2 linked regions of the Pelodiscus sinensis genome follow. The protein of the gene in region 2 interacts with the protein of the main gene of each other region in a pairwise test. Links are inferred from orthologs where the notes say so. Each region holds a gene or a part of one and is shown on either strand. Other genes may lie near its edges. The genes, in order: IFT27 and IFT25.

Region 1 (7,969 bases), on a different chromosome or scaffold from region 2:
TAAATACATTAATTTCAGCCTAACTAATGCCGTATCTTTAATCTTCCCTTTTTTCTTAACAACTAGCTCACACAACAATACTCTTGACTGTAAATCGTGCCTGGAGATAACAAAGGAATCATTGTCCACTGCATAGTTAACATAGTTTTTCTGCTAACGGAAGATTTTTTTTTCTCTTTTTCATTCTTGACCTCAGTGCATCTCTCACCAGTGTGATCCACTCTCTCTCCTCCAGATGAGTAGGTACACGACTTTCTTCTACCCACCTAATTGCATTCCCCCCTTTATTTTGTGGCTCTCTTCAGTATGAAGATTCTTCCCCTTTGGTGCTTACTGAATCAAACAGGGAAGTAAGAATCTTTTCTAGTTTTATCTAGTGTCTTTCACAGTGTAATTTGGGGAAGCATAGGGGATGTCACGTTACAGACAGGTCACTGCTGCACCCAAGGGGGGTGTTTGCCCCAAAAGTTGGTACAAAGGGGCCATGTGAGATGTCAAATGAGAGCGTATGTTCTACTGATTCTGTATATGCTATTCGTGTACTTGTATTATATCTGTATATGGAGTTATAAACATGTACTCTGTAGGGATGCTGGAAAATTCTCTGTCTGTGGCTGAGCAATGGGGAAGGAATGCTTAGCTATGCTAACTAGCAAGGAGACAATGAAACTCTAGGTGCCAATACACACCTCAGGAATGTGACTGATATCTGTAAACCAGCCAGGGCAGAAGGGCTGCCAGCATGGGACACAGGGATAGGTCGTTGGACCATGTGACCTTCTCTGGCCAGGAAGATGCCGGGGCAGTATACAAATGCCTTGTGGCACCCTCCAGCTGGTCTTGAGTTCAGCTCCTGATCCCAGATGCAGCCTTGCAGGGAACAACAAGCTGAGAAGAACTGTGGACCTGTCCTGACATAGGATGTACACCAGAGACTTTTAAGATAGCAGTTTATAACACCTCTGCTAAGAGCCTGTATTGAGAACTGGGTGATTCGATGCATGTAATGTATTTTCTTTAACAACCTTACTCTCATGCTTTTCTTTCTTTTTTTAATAAACCTTTAGATTTTAGATTCTAAAGGATTGGCTCCGCGTAATCTTGTCGGTAAGACCCAGAGTGTAACTTGATCTGGGAACTGTGGCTGGTTTCTTGGGACCAGAAGAACCTGTTCAGGGTAGATGAGATTGGGTTCTAAAACCCCTCACCTGTGTGTTAGGCCCGGGGATGATTAGGACACTGGAAGAGCTGGGGTGTCAGAGGGGTTTTGCTAGTGAGGCTTCTGGCTGGCCAGATTGGCAGCTGAAGTGGTCGGTGAAACTGGTTTGTGACCTGTTTGTAAGATCTCCAATCTGGGGCTCTAAGGTGTTCTGAGTTTTGAGCACTTTGCCACACAGGGGAGGACAGGGTTGCGGGTTCAAGACCTGCCTTCACTGGGTCAAGATGGCCAAAACCTGTAAGCGCTTTTGCGGAAAAGTGTCCGTGCCAATCTAGACGCTCTTTTCTGAAAATGCTTTTAATGGAAAACTTTTCCGTTAAAAGCATTTCCGGAAAATCATGCCAGTCTAGACGTAGCCTTCCTGTTTACTGAATCAAACAGGGAAGTAAGAATATTTCATTTTACCTGCTGCCTTTCACAATGTAAACCTCAGATGGTACAGAATTTGCCCTCCATGCATGGTCCTGTTGCCCTGATTGGAGCTGTCTCCTTCCCAAAGACAGAAGTAGAACTATACCTATGCTTTTCAGTTATCTTTACATTTGATGTCTTGCTACTATTGTTTGATGGCATTCAAGTGTACATACTTCACAACTCCTTAACAGTGTCTTGGCCAAACCTGCAGCTTTATCTCTGGTTCTTTCAGGTAATCTTGTGCTTCTCTTGAGCAAGAAGAGCCTCTCCTCAGACACATCTGCCTTTCTCTTATTTTCACACTTGACTAACACCATACTTCCCCCCGCCTCGTTGTTTGTAATCATCTTTATTTCACACATACTTTTTCTTTCAGCACAAAAGGGAATGTGCCAGTCTATTTCATGAAACTGGGCTTGGCTCTTCATTCTGTTTCTCTCACCCTTCCTGTCATATCATCTTTCCATTGTTGTGAAGAGAGTGGTCTTTGATCCTGTATCTTTTTCACTGGCTTGCATCATATTTCCTAGCTCATCTGGATACATATTTCCTCATCTGTACCTCTTAGTTTGTTACCCTTTGCTTTTTATACATCTGTATTCACTAGAATACTATTGCTGTGAGGCATGGGTGACGACTCTATGGGTGTTCCAGGGCTGATAGACAGACCCCTGATCAGCTCCTTCCCCATCTCCCAGCTCCTTCTGCCCATCCTGATCAGCTATCGCATGGCATGCAAGAAGTACTGGAAGGGGGAGGCATGAGAGCCGTGTGTGCTCAGGGAAAGGGGGCAGAACAGGACCAGGAGAAGTGGGAAGGGCAAAGCAAGGGCAGAACCTTTGAGGACAGGGTGTGGGCAGGGTCTGGGGTGCAGCAAGGATCAAGCCCCCCCCTTAGCACATTAGAAAGTGGATTCCTCTGGAATGAAGGTCGCTCTACAAAATGAAGCAGCGTGGCGGGGGCAGGGCGCCGGGGGGGATCAGGAAAGGGCAGCGGGCGGATGTTTAAAGCACTGGCCCCTTGGGGGCATTACTGAATCCCTCCGCTGGCCCATCCGTGGGGGTCAGGCCCCGCCCAGCGCCCCGGGGGCTCCAGCCCCGCGTAGTTTGCAGCGCCAGAGTCGCTGGGGCTCGCGCCGCTCTTCTTCCGCCCCAGCGAGCGAGCCCAGAGGCGCGCGGGGCGCAGCGCGGGCAGTCGAGGCGCGAGGACGAGCTCACCTGCCAGGATGCACTTGGCGGCGAGTTTCACCATGGTCCGGCTGCCGCGAGCCCTGCCCGAGGGGAGGGGTTAGGGCCTCAGTGGGGGAGGTGGGTTAGAAGGGGATGAGCGGGGGGGGGGGGTGGCTATTCGAACTCGGACCACATCGGAGGCTCCACAGCCCTGGCCCCGCTCCTGGTGCTGCCCTAGCAACCCCCCGCCCCCTCAGCCAGTCACCGCCCTCCTTGGCGCCGCCCGCTTCTGCGACAGGCGATTGGCTGGCGGTGCTGCCCATCCCACCGGCCGCTCGGGTGGCTATTGAGTCCCCTTTCCATTTGGCTCCGCCTTGTGGGACGGATGCCTCCTCGAATACTCTGAGGCCATTGGTTCAGGGATGTACTGCTTATTGGTACGCGTGTCTGCCAATCAAAGGCCCCGCCCAATGCGAGCGGTTAAGCGGCCTGAGCTGAAGCCGGGGATGAAGTCATCAACGCTGCAATTCTGGGTCAGTGCGCGTGCGCCTGATGCTGTTTCTACCCAGCAACTAATGACATTCCAAGGACCCTGTTTTTAATTGGACAGACCACGGTGGCCCGTACCATCTCTAGGCGGAATTATTCCATGGGGAGAGTTAGGGAAAAAAAAGATGGACCAGAAAGTTTTACCAATAGGTGGGGTCATGTCCTGGTAGAGTTCTGGGGGAAAGAGCGGGGGTGAGATAAAGAACTGTGACGGCTTGAGCCCTTCGGTACATAATGGGCTCTTCCACAAAGCGCGTTCGCTAAACGTTAGCGTAACTGGAGTTTTCTGCGCATGCGCACGATACTTTCCCACCGTCTCGCTCCCTCCCGGTTCTGTTTGCTCGTGGGCCTGCGCGTGCGTCCCTTGGTCCCTTGGCTTGTTCAGCTGGCTCTTGGGCTGCGCTGCGTGTGTGACTGTGTTGCAGCCCCGGTGCATTATTGCCGCGACAGCCCCCTCCTCCTGCAAGCTGTTAGGTGGCGGGGGCACAGTAGAGCCCACATCATTAGGTAACCAGGGCCCGATTAAGGTTATGAGGGGCCTGAGTGTGAATTACATATTACAAGGAACTGTGAAGCAGTCAGACGTGTATGCACTTATTTGCATATTCATTATGTAAAATTAGCAAGTTTATAAACTCATATGACTAAATTCTTGAAACCAAATTTTTACCCTAGTTTTAACTGTGGCAAAGCCATGAACGATATAATCATAACTCAAAAGACTTGACGATTTCATTCTTGATGCTCAAGAGGGACAAAGCACTGAAATACTCATAGATCAGAAGACAATTTCAACCCCTGTTGAAAGAGAAAAGGAATGTTCTCAACTGCTGTTAGTAATCTTTAGTGACGAATAAAGCTATAATGCAGTTTCAACTTTTGGGAAACATTCTATCTCATTGAATTCTGTGATGGTACATCCAAATAGATTTGCTTTTGTCATCTTTATATTTGAGAGTGATGTGCATTCAACAAATTGAAGAAATTCTTTTAGTAAAATCTACTGGGAGATCTTCTGGGAACCTCTGACAGATACTTCAACTGATTTTAGAACTTGAAATATTAGGTGAAAAATGTCAGTACACTAAAGGTTTTGTCAATCTTTTTGCAAGCCTTGATTTGATGTTTTAATGAACTTTTGTGTGTGTCAGTAATTAACTCTGAAGGGATTAACTCTGAAGACCACCTTGTCACAGAATGAGTGGACATTTGGATCATCATGTTTTCTGACTTTTACTGTGGTTGGCTGACTTATATTCATGTTTTAGCAGTTCTTTCAGCCGCCGCCTGAATTTCATACTCATCAAAACTATCTTACATACGTTGAACAGCAGTTCCAAGACTCCTCATTAGATTTACAGCAGTGGAAAGGTCAATTCTAGCACTTTGCAAGCTCAGATTGCACCTGCTGAATGGATGAAGTGTATCATTCCAGACCTCACACAAAATACCAGTTTCCAAAGTGCATATTGCATCATTCAGAATCTTTGCTTCTTTTCTTCTTGCTGATTTTTTATTAGCTTGATCATCCTTGATGCTATCTAGTGTTTCAAGGATGTTGGGGTATCCCAGAACAACTGCATTCACAGCTTTAGCACTGGTGCTTCACTGTGCCCCTGAGAATGATTTGGGCACTGGATATCCCTTTGGTAGTGAATCTTTAAGAATCACCCCCACAACTGGTTGAAACAGAGAGAAATCTGTACAATTCTTGGAGAAAGAAAGAAAAACTGCTTTGACACAACGATTCATGGCAGCCAACAAGGTTGAGTGAGAAAACAGTACGTGGTATATAATCAATCAAAGCACTGCGCTTTTTTTAATCTTTGCCTGCATCCCTGAATATTTGCTACTTCTATTACTTGCATTGTCATAGGTTTGGCCATGACAAAGGCTGATATTAATGTCATTTTTGGTGAGGAAATCAAGTAGGTACAAGGCTAATTTCCCTCCTGCATAGTAGGTGATGTTTATGAAAGTCACTAAATGCTCAAGTGGTCTGCTGAGTATTAGAGAAAAGAAACTGCCCCCCCCCCCCCAGTAAAAAAGTTTGGCCAGGCCGCTCTTGTTCTGCAGTACTCCTTGAGAGAAACCGGCCACACCCTTCCTGCATACCATTGCCTTTAGAAAAAGGAAAGGTGTGAAAAGGGGAAAATAGCCTCAGACTCTCCCACCTGTCACCTTGGCATGAGAACTGCGGGGCTTACCTGGTCACATGAAACCTGCACAGTTTCGGCCCAACCCCTGGGACACAGACCCCCCACTTGGTGACCATTGGGCCATATATGGTAATATGCAAGCACGGGAAAGCGATGTGCAGATTTGGGGATAAATACCCATGACACAGTTCGCTCTAGGAGGTCTTCGCAACACACGTACCACCGTGCGTGTGCCTTCTCGTATACTTCCAAGCGCTACCAGCCTGATCAACCGACCAGCCACCTCCCCCGACTCTCGGGCGTAACCAAGGCCTTCGCAACCGAACCAATATCTGGGAAATGTTCCGTGTGCTGTGTAAGTTGGTATGTATGATTTGATTTTTTCTTGTTGTATAAGCTTAGTGTTGTAGTTGTTTTTGGGTAGTACATAAGAGTTTGTAGTTATCACTGTTATTTAATTACTGTAGCTGGATAGTTTAAGATTAGAGACTATTCCCCTTGCCATTCCCATCCCTATATCTCTGACACGTTTTACTAGAAACCATAGAATAAATATAATAAATACTGTAAATTCATTATTAACACGGTCTATTAAAAAATCTCAGAATAATACTATAAATTCATCACTGTCATAAAACTGTCCACCTGGTTCTGTCCTTCCCCCCTTGGGTATTCATTATCGGACCTGTGATTCTCGCGACACTGAGTGGCACATAATGCAAGATGATAGCTGATATAGATGTGACAGATCTGATGTTGACTTGACGGACATGGAAAAATATCCCATATCTTTGAGCTCATCTACAGTGACTGACAGTGTCTTCTTTGCCAACAGTCCAATGAATTCATCACAAATAGTCTTTGATAGGTATGATATATGGCCTTTTCTGTGGTTTGTGTGTTCATTAATATGCTGAGCTAAGAAAGGGTCAAATTTAGCCATTAGCTCTAGAATGCTGAGGTAATTACCATTGTGTTTTGATCCAACAATCTCATCTGAACCATGCAAAGGCAAAGAAAAAAATCTATGGTCTCAATTACACATCTGAGAACATTCTTCCAATAAGCACAAGCTTTCAAAAACTGGTTTTGCATTTGGGTTTCAATTCTGCCACTAACTTTCTTTTGGGTATGATAGCTGCTAACTGACAATGTATGCAGCTCACTCATTGCATGACTGGTAATGTGTTTGTGACATTTTTTCAATCATTGAAGCCTTCACTGAACATTCCTTACATTTTGGTATTTGAAAACAGGTGGCAATAAAAACAATACACTTAGAAGGTGCATAGATGAGCTATTCTCACTTGCCAATGTTGTGTTAGGCTTCACATCTTTAAACATTGATTTGGTCAGATAATCATTCTGATTGATGTACCCTCACTTTGTCAGTGAAAAAGCACGTAGACTCTGGCATTTCTGTGGACTCTTCTCAGTCTAATATGCAATGAGATCTTGACATGTCATGCCCCACTTGCCTAGATCATTGGAGAATGATAATTATATATTACTGTCACTGAAAAGTCTCAGAGGAGTGGAGGACTGCAGCTAGAGAACTCACAGAAAGCGGATTCTTTTTATCAGGTGCAGCAGGTTAACTTGGGCTGGTATTTGGACTTCCTCACCAGCCTTGGTCTGAAGAAAAAAAATGTTAGGAGAGGAGTACCTTTCCATCTTTCTTTAGCCTCCTTCAGTTTCTGCCATTCTCCTTTTTTTCAACGTGGTTTCTATTGTCCAGTCTAGGCCTACTGTATTCAAAGTTCAATATTGCTCAGGCCCATAAACACTTACATAACCCATGAAGACAAAATCACAACCACCATAAATTGAATTCACAATGTCAATGGATTAATTTGTACAAAGCAATATCTAACAAGACAAAAGATTTCTGATGTTCCTGCCACTGTTGCTCTGCTGTTGCCTTGATATGAAATAGAGAGTCTGTGGTAGGGCCTAAACATTAGGAAAGACTAAATATTAGGGCCTAAAAATAAGAGGGCCTAAGGCTATAGCCTACCCTGTTACCCACACAAATGTCTCTATCTCTTCCACACTGTAGGGACACACACCTTTACCCCATTCCTAGGGCTCAAGGTGCAACCCTGTTAATTTACAGACCCACCTGTACCCAATTTCTAGGGCACAGGGCATAACTTCCTGCAGGTTTTGCAGGTTCTTTAGCCACTGAAAGATCCTCACACAGTAATATTCTTATCCTCTATTTATTGACAATTCCCAAACAAGCAGAATACACATGCTACGCACACAGTGCCATGCTCACCAATCCTGATAAAGACAGACTTCCCCTGTTGGCCAGGCAAAATCAGTCTCTCTGGATCTTAGCTGCTGCACGTCACAGTTGTGCAGGAGAATCCTGGCAGCTCTGGTCTTAGGCTGTGTCTTGGAGGTGAATAGTTCTTCCAGGTGTTCCTTGTTTTCCCTTTGGTCTTCTTCCAGCC
Region 2 (8,184 bases):
CTGCCCCACCTCCCCTCGGCACCTTCCCCTTCCCATGTCCCCAGAGCCTGCTCCCTGCCCCACATCCCCTCAGCACCTTCCCCTTCCCATGTCCCCAGAGCCTGCTCCCTGCCCCACCTCCCCTCGGCACCTTCCCCTTCCCATGTCCCCAGAGCCTGCTCCCTGCCCCACATCCCCTCAGCACCTTCCCCTTCCCATGTCCCCAGAGCCTGCTCCCTGCCCCACATCCCCTCGGCACCTTCCCCTTCCCATGTCCTCAGAGCCTCCTCCCTGCCCCACCTCCCCTCGGCACCTTCCCCTTCCCATGTCCCCAGAGCCTGCTCCCTGCCCCACCTCCCCTCGGCACCTTCCCCTTCCCATGTCCCCAGAGCCTGCTCCCTGCCCCACCTCCCCTCGGCACCTTCCCCTTCCCATGTCCCCGAGCCTGCTCCCTGCCCCACCTCCCCTCAGCACCTTCCCCTTCCCATGGCCCCAGAGCCTGCTCCCTGCCCCACATCCCCTCAGCACCTTCCCCTTCCCATGTCCCCGAGCCTGCTCCCTGCCCCACCTCCCCTCAGCACCTTCCCCTTCCCATGGCCCCAGAGCCTGCTCCCTGCCCCACATCCCCTCGGCACCTTCCCCTTCCCATGTCCCCGAGCCTGCTCCCTGCCCCACCTCCCCTCGGCACCTTCCCCTTCCCATGTCCCCAGAGCCTGCTCCCTGCCCCACCTCCCCTCAGCACCTTCCCCTTCCCATGTCCCCGAGCCTGCTCCCTGCCCCACATCCCCTCGGCACCTTCCCCTTCCCATGTCCCCAGAGCCTGCTCCCTGCCCCACATCCCCTCAGCACCTTCCCCTTCCCATGTCCCAGAGCCTCCTCCCTGCCCCACCTCCCCTCAGCACCTTCCCCTTCCCATGTCCCCGAGCCTGCTCCCTGCCCCACCTCCCCTCGGCACCTTCCCCTTCCCATGTCCCCAGAGCCTGCTCCCTGCCCCACATCACCTCAGCACCTTCCCCTTCCCATGTCCCCAGAGCCTGCTCCCTGCCCCACCTCCCCTCAGCACCTTCCCCTTCCCATGTCCCCAGAGCCTGCTCCCTGCCCCACCTCCCCTCGGCACCTTCCCCTTCCCATGTCCCCAGAGCCTGCTCCCTGCCCCACATCACCTCAGCACCTTCCCCTTCCCATGTCCCCAGAGCCTGCTCCCTGCCCCACCTCCCCTCAGCACCTTCCCCTTCCCATGTCCCAGAGCCTGCTCCCTGCCCCACCTCCCCTCAGCACCTTCCCCTTCCCATGTCCCCGAGCCTGCTCCCTGCCCCACATCCCCTCAGCACCTTCCCCTTCCCATGTCCCCGAGCCTGCTCCCTGCCCCACCTCCCCTCAGCACCTTCCCCTTCCCATGTCCCAGAGCCTGCTCCCTGCCCCACCTCCCCTCGGCACCTTCCCCTTCCCATGTCCCAGAGCCTGCTCCCTGCCCCACATCCCCTCGGCACCTTCCCCTTCCCATGGCCCCAGAGCCTGCTCCCTGCCCCACCTCCCCTCGGCACCTTCCCATGTCCCCAGAGCCTGCTCCCTGCCCCACCTCCCCTCGGCACCTTCCCATGCCCCAGAGCCTGCTCCCTGCCCCACCTCCCCTCGGCACCTTCCCCTTCCCATGTCCCCAGAGCCTGCTCCCTGCCCCACCTCCCCTCAGCACCTTCCCCTTCCCATGTCCCCAGAGCCTGCTCCCTGCCCCACCTCCCCTCAGCACCTTCCCATGTCCCCAGAGCCTGCTCCCTGCCCCACCTCCCCTCGGCACCTTCCCCTTCCCATGTCCCAGAGCCTGCTCCCTGCCCCACATCACCTCAGCACCTTCCCCTTCCCATGTCCCCAGAGCCTGCTCCCTGCCCCACCTCCCCTCGGCACCTTCCCCTTCCCATGTCCCCAGAGCCTGCTCCCTGCCCCACATCACCTCAGCACCTTCCCCTTCCCATGTCCCCAGAGCCTGCTCCCTGCCCCACCTCCCCTCAGCACCTTCCCCTTCCCATGTCCCAGAGCCTGCTCCCTGCCCCACCTCCCCTCAGCACCTTCCCCTTCCCATGTCCCCGAGCCTGCTCCCTGCCCCACATCCCCTCAGCACCTTCCCCTTCCCATGTCCCCGAGCCTGCTCCCTGCCCCACCTCCCCTCAGCACCTTCCCCTTCCCATGTCCCAGAGCCTGCTCCCTGCCCCACCTCCCCTCGGCACCTTCCCCTTCCCATGTCCCAGAGCCTGCTCCCTGCCCCACATCCCCTCGGCACCTTCCCCTTCCCATGGCCCCAGAGCCTGCTCCCTGCCCCACCTCCCCTCGGCACCTTCCCATGTCCCCAGAGCCTGCTCCCTGCCCCACCTCCCCTCGGCACCTTCCCATGCCCCAGAGCCTGCTCCCTGCCCCACCTCCCCTCGGCACCTTCCCCTTCCCATGTCCCCAGAGCCTGCTCCCTGCCCCACCTCCCCTCAGCACCTTCCCCTTCCCATGTCCCCAGAGCCTGCTCCCTGCCCCACCTCCCCTCAGCACCTTCCCCTTCCCATGTCCCAGAGCCTGCTCCCTGCCCCACCTCCCCTCGGCACCTTCCCCTTCCCATGGCCCCATGCGCCCAGCACCCTCTATTGTCCGATCAGCCCCCGCCTCCCCTGGGTCCCCGCCCCTGGCTCAGGGACTCGCCTCCAGTCTCGGGCGGAGACGCCGCGCGCTCCCCCCGGGGTCTCCCCGCCGCTTTCTCCGCCCGGCCGCCCGCGCACGCGCGCTCCCGTCGCTCAGCTCCCCGGCGCGCCCCCGCTCTCCCCTTTGTGGCCCCCGGGGCGGGACCGGCCTGCGGCGCGAGCCCCGGCCCCTGCGAGCGGCCGCGCCAGGCGGGGGCTCCGGGGACGGCCCGTGCCCGGAGCAGGTAGGTCGGGGGCTCGGGGCAACTTTCCCCGCGCCCCGTGCTCGGAGCGACGGGGCTGGCCGGGCGCCAGGGAAAGGGGCGGCCCCGCCACCCCCAGCTAGCCCTCTGCGGCCGGGCCCCGGCACCAAGCGCCCTGCGGGGGAAAGGTCCAAGGCAGGAGCCCCCCCCCCCCCCTGGGCCGAGACCGGGGCATCCCTGCGAACGGCCGCCCACCCTGCGGGGCTGCGCCTGCCACAGCGCCAGACAAAGCCAGGTCTTGCCGCAGTGCTGCCGAAGGGGGCAGGGGCGAAGCATGCCGCCAGGGGGTGGTGCAGACAGGGACCCCTTGTGCAGGCCGAGCCGGCGTGCTGGAAAGCCCCTCAGCCGGGCGTGCAGCCTTGAGCTAGGAGAGGGCGCACAACACAGGACAAACTTCTGTGGCACGCTTCCTTTTTTTGTTTTTTAACCGAAAGCCCTAAGTTAATGAGCAGGCCCCTGCACATCTGCGGATATCGGCTTTACATCATGGATGGGAATATCCACGGCTCATTTTTGCAGATACAAATGCAGATGCAAAATGTGTACCTTGAACCCTGCAGATGTGCAGATATCTGCTTTACATCCATCAGCATCCGCATCTGGAGATGTCCATGTGGATATCTGCAACTCATTTTTGCAGATGGGGATACACATTTTGTATCTGCCCAAGGCTCTGGCCATGTGCAATGTACACGATTATTTGAATGAAATAGTTGTAATGTACTGAGTAGTGTGTAAGGTGTAGCAAGCACTGTGCTCTGCTAAATGCAGTCAGATCTACACCATGTTACAGGAGGCCCCTTCTTGATCCTCAGTAGTATGTGGAAAAGACCTGTCATTCTGAAGGAATGAGTTCTAGTTCCCATATTTTGTTGTTGCTGGCAGCCCAAGAGTGTATTATAGGCAGCCATGCTTTCACTGTATCATATGGATACATTATAATGGGCTGCCTAGGGTGCCAAAGGAAATTAACTTGGATTGAAACATTTCCAAAATGATATCATTTGCTTTAATTCTTTATTCATTTCTCATTTTGTTTTTGCAGAAACTAAAGGGGAATGTCTTACTGCCTCAAGTCAGAAAGCCTTTTGGATACAGGCCCAATATATGTGCGTGAAAATGGGCACCTGTATATGGTAGATCAGGATTCTGGCACTGTAAATAATGCTATTCCAAAACCCAAGCGGTTTAGACTATTTTCTAAAGGATTCTCTGTGGAGCTTTGTATGAACAGAGAAGATGACAGTGCAAGGAAAGAGAGAACAGATCATTTCATCTTTACTTATACTAAGGAGGGGAATCTCCGATACTCAGCCAAGTCTCTCTTCGGCCTAGTGTTGGATTACATTTCTGACAATGTTGATCATATTGATTCATTGATTGGCTTTCCAGAGCAGATTGCTGAAAAGCTTTTTTCTGCTGCAGAAGCAAGGCAAAAGTTCACAGAACCAGTTATAGGACTCAGAGCATTACAAAAATTTACTGAGGCTTATGGAAGTCTGGTGCTTTGTTCATTATGTTTACAGAATAGGTAAGTGCATTCAGTAACATGAAACTTATGTTTGTTAATATTTATTTTTTAATTAAATATAAACATGTTATTGATTTGGATGATTGCTTATTGGAGTATTGCTTACTCCATGAAGTATTGTTTTTGATAGCACATGTTTAATTTTTGCATCTGTAATGCAGAACTTAATATCTGCCAGTTAATCCTCTAAATCCACATGAACACATTCTGTAATCTGAATTGAAGGATAAAACCTGCAGCTTTATTTGTAGCATGCTAACACTTGGCTCTTGTATGGTGCTTTGAAACATAATCTTCACAACATGCCTACCTTGTTGTCTGCACTGTAGTTGTAGCCATGTCAGTCCCAGGATACTCAAGACAAGATGATGGGTGAGGCAGTATCTTTTATTGCATTTTCTGTTGGTGAGAGAGACAAGCTTGTCTTACTTACCTTCCTCATAGGAGTGTTAATAACTAAATTTTGTCTGAACTAATTAAACGATTTCGGCATTTACTTTGACTTGTATAGCCAGCAAAATTTTCTAGCACACAGTCCCACTGGGACATTCCATGTCTACTATCACATTTCTCATATGAAGGATACAAGTACCCAAAGGCAGGGGGGAGAAGAGCATAGCTGTGTAATGTTATTACAGGTTTTGAAGTCAGAAGACCTCGTATTACATTTTATTAATTACTGTTTATGTCTATATGTGTTGCATGCCCTTCATATTGAACACACCTTGACCAAGGACATTCTGTGTCTTCCCCTCTTTGATCAAGTTCTAACACAACCAGAAAAGTTTCTCCTTACAAGGCTTAAATTAGGATAATATTTTATTGGGATTTGTAGTTTACATTCACACAGTTTATATTCTTTTGAGTCTTTTAAATATGAACCAGTATAAATCAAAGCATATAGGGACATCATTCTTGGATTCCAAAACTGGCATGAGTAATATAGAAAAGTTTTTACTAAAAAAAACATCAGGCGTACCAGTTGTCACTTCATTCTCAGAATGATCAAATTGCATGCCAGTTTACTCGTGGACTGCATTTTCCATGAATGAAAGATGGCTTCCTATGGAAAACCTTTTTGTCCTCTTTATTTCTCAAGTCGAGGCTTTTGTTTTGGCCATGAAACATCAGTTGCACTGTTTGATTTGGACTGATATGTCTTGTGATCTGGTAGTAATAGCTGTCTTTGCATGTTAAAGTCACTGGTTATGTAGCAAGTAATTTTTGAGTTAAGATCAGAGTCACAATGTTGATATAATGATAGAAATGTAGCCGTGTTAGTCTGGTGTAGCTGAAACAAAAAACAGGACTATGTAGCACTTTAAAGACTAACAAGATGGTTTATTAGGTGATGAGCTTTCGTGGGCCAGACCCACTTCCTCAGATAAAATAGTGAAAGAAAATTGGCACAACCATATATACCAAAGGATACAATTTAAAAAAATGAACACATATGAAAAGGACAAATCAAATTTCAGAACAGAATGGGATGAGGGTGGGAGGTAAATGTCTGTGAGCTAATGATATTAGAGGTGATAATTGGGGAAGCTATCTTTGTAATGGGTAAGATAATTCATGTCTTTGTTTAGACCTGGACTTAAAGTGTCGAATTTAAGCATGAATGACAGTTCAGAGGATTCTCTTTCAAGTCTGGTGTTAAAAGGTCTTTGAAGCAGGATGCAGGTAATCGAGTCGTTGAGACAATGCCCTTTCTGGTTGAAATGGCAAGAAACTGTTCTTTCTTTGTGATCCTGTCTAATATCTGTTTTGTGGGCATTGATTCTTTGGCGAAGTGTCTGAGACATTTGTCCAATGTACATAGCAGACGGACACTTTCGGCACACGATAGCATAAATTATATTTCTGGATGAGCAGGAATACGTGTTCTTGATCTTATAACTCAATTGGCTAGTCCAATAATGGTATCAGCAGAATGAATATGTGGACAAAGCTGGCAACAGGGTTTGTTGCAAGGGAAGGTTCCAGGGTTGGTATTAGTGTGGTATGTCCTGTGGTTGTTGGTAAGAATCATCTTGAGGTTAGGTGGTTGTCTATAGGAGCCTCTCGGAGTTTAGTATCCTGATCCAGGATAGGTTGAAGTTTATTGATAATGTGTTGGACAGGTTTAAGTTGGGGGCTGTAGGTGATGACAAGTGGTGTTCTATTGTTGGTTTTCTTGGGTCTGTCTTGAAGTAGATGGTTTCTAGGTATTTGTCTGGCTCTTTCAATTTGTTTTTTTATTTCTCCAGGTGGGTAATTGAGGTTTATAAATGCTTGGTAGAGATCCTGAAGTTTCTGGTCTCTGTCAGTGGGATTAGAGCATTTACCTCCCCCCATCATCCCTCTTCTGTTCTGAAATTTGATTTGTCCTTTTCAAATGTCTTTAAAATGTTGATATAAGACATTGAGTAAGAATCTGAGCATGTGTTCCAAATGGACTGCAGCCTGGATAGATAATGATGAGAGCTTACTCATTCTAGGCATTTTTCACATGGCAGCTGGCATAATGCCAAGGAGAAGTAGACACCTTCTATGACTGTACTTTTAGTGCATTTAAATGTTCATAGCTTTCTGCTCTTTACAGATATCTGGTTATTTCTGAAAAACTTGAAGAAATTAAGTCTTTCAGGGAGCTGACCTGCTTGGATCTTTCCTGTTGTAAACTTGGAGATAACCATGAATTGCTAGAACATATCACCAAAGAAGCTCTGTCTAGGTACCAATATATTGATATGTGTAATTGACCAGCATTTTTTTCCATCACTAAGAAATTCACAGAATCACACTGTCTCTTTAAAGTTTCATAGGAAACAAGCACTTTTATTGGGGGTTTTCAGTTGTCTATAAACTCACTTCTTAAGGCAGAAAAAGCAAGCATCAGAGTTTATAACCCAAATTGCAAAATACCAACCATGTGCTGAGTCTTTAGACAAGTTCTACAATTATGAAAGTTGAAATAAAAGTTCTAGCTAACTGTTTTCTACATTTTTCATTTTCTGTTTATAATATACAGTCATTATTGCAAAACTTAATTTCCAACTGCTGTAAACTTTCCCTATTAAATTTGCTTATTAACTTTTGGGGGAGAACTTTATCAAAATAATAATTTTAATTGCATTAATGTCAGGATGAGATATTAATAACTTACATCTTTTGTCTAGTATTTGTTTTCTAAAATCTTTATATAGCCATCTTTTTGAGCTCCTAGAGATCTAAAAGATGGAAAATTGTGAAACTTTATTAGGTTAATTGTGTTTATTAATTAATAACTGTTACTACTACATAAGACTTCCATTTGTTTGATTCAAGATTGTGTTTTAAAAGGATGCCGTGGAAGTATATCTATAAACTTTTGGGGATTTCATTTATTCTTGTTTGCAATACTTCCTTATATCTCCTACCAATTATGCCTTTTCCTGTATGTCAAGCAAGATTTTCCTTTTCCGATTTTGAAAGGGGTTGAAATTGGTGAGCCCAAGTAGTTCAAGTAACAAAGAATCTTAGTGCCTGAATTAGCAGGGTGGTATGTTCCAGTGTTGCCTGTGTCAGTGAAACTTTGGGAAGTTTGTTAGGTAATTGCTTCAGCGGAGACTTCAGAGAAAACAGGGAAAATACCAAAAAGGCCTCTTGTTTTATTGGTCCTTTTAAAGGAGTAAAGGAGTGATAGACTAAGCAGGTATTAGGAAAAAATTCTAGACTTTGCACATGAAATGCTAACAATTATCCTAAAAACTTTACATTATTCCTTTACAAA

Evidence for each region.
Region 1: the proteins of IFT25 (region 2) and IFT27 interact in binary tests that used the Homo sapiens proteins (3 or more experiments, as listed by UniProt). The two-hybrid records come from large-scale screens. The link is inferred for Pelodiscus sinensis from reciprocal best matches to the Homo sapiens genes IFT25 and IFT27.

What each region holds. Positions count from the first base shown.
Region 1 is NC_134711.1:93,194,574-93,202,542, reverse strand, and holds the start of IFT27 (intraflagellar transport protein 27 homolog), read right to left. Parts: upstream 3,010-7,969; 5' UTR 2,885-3,009; coding exon 2,851-2,884; intron 1-2,850. UniProt on the Homo sapiens protein: Small GTPase-like component of the intraflagellar transport (IFT) complex B that promotes the exit of the BBSome complex from cilia via its interaction with ARL6. Not involved in entry of the BBSome complex into cilium. Prevents aggregation of GTP-free ARL6.
Region 2 is NC_134719.1:11,241,136-11,249,319, forward strand, and holds the start of IFT25 (intraflagellar transport protein 25 homolog), read right to left. Parts: upstream 3,191-8,184; 5' UTR 3,095-3,190; intron 2,882-3,094; exon of another isoform or gene 2,659-2,881; intron 1-2,658. Other genes in the region: LRRC42 (leucine-rich repeat-containing protein 42), read left to right, coding at 3,958-4,430, 7,015-7,146. UniProt on the Homo sapiens protein: Component of the IFT complex B required for sonic hedgehog/SHH signaling.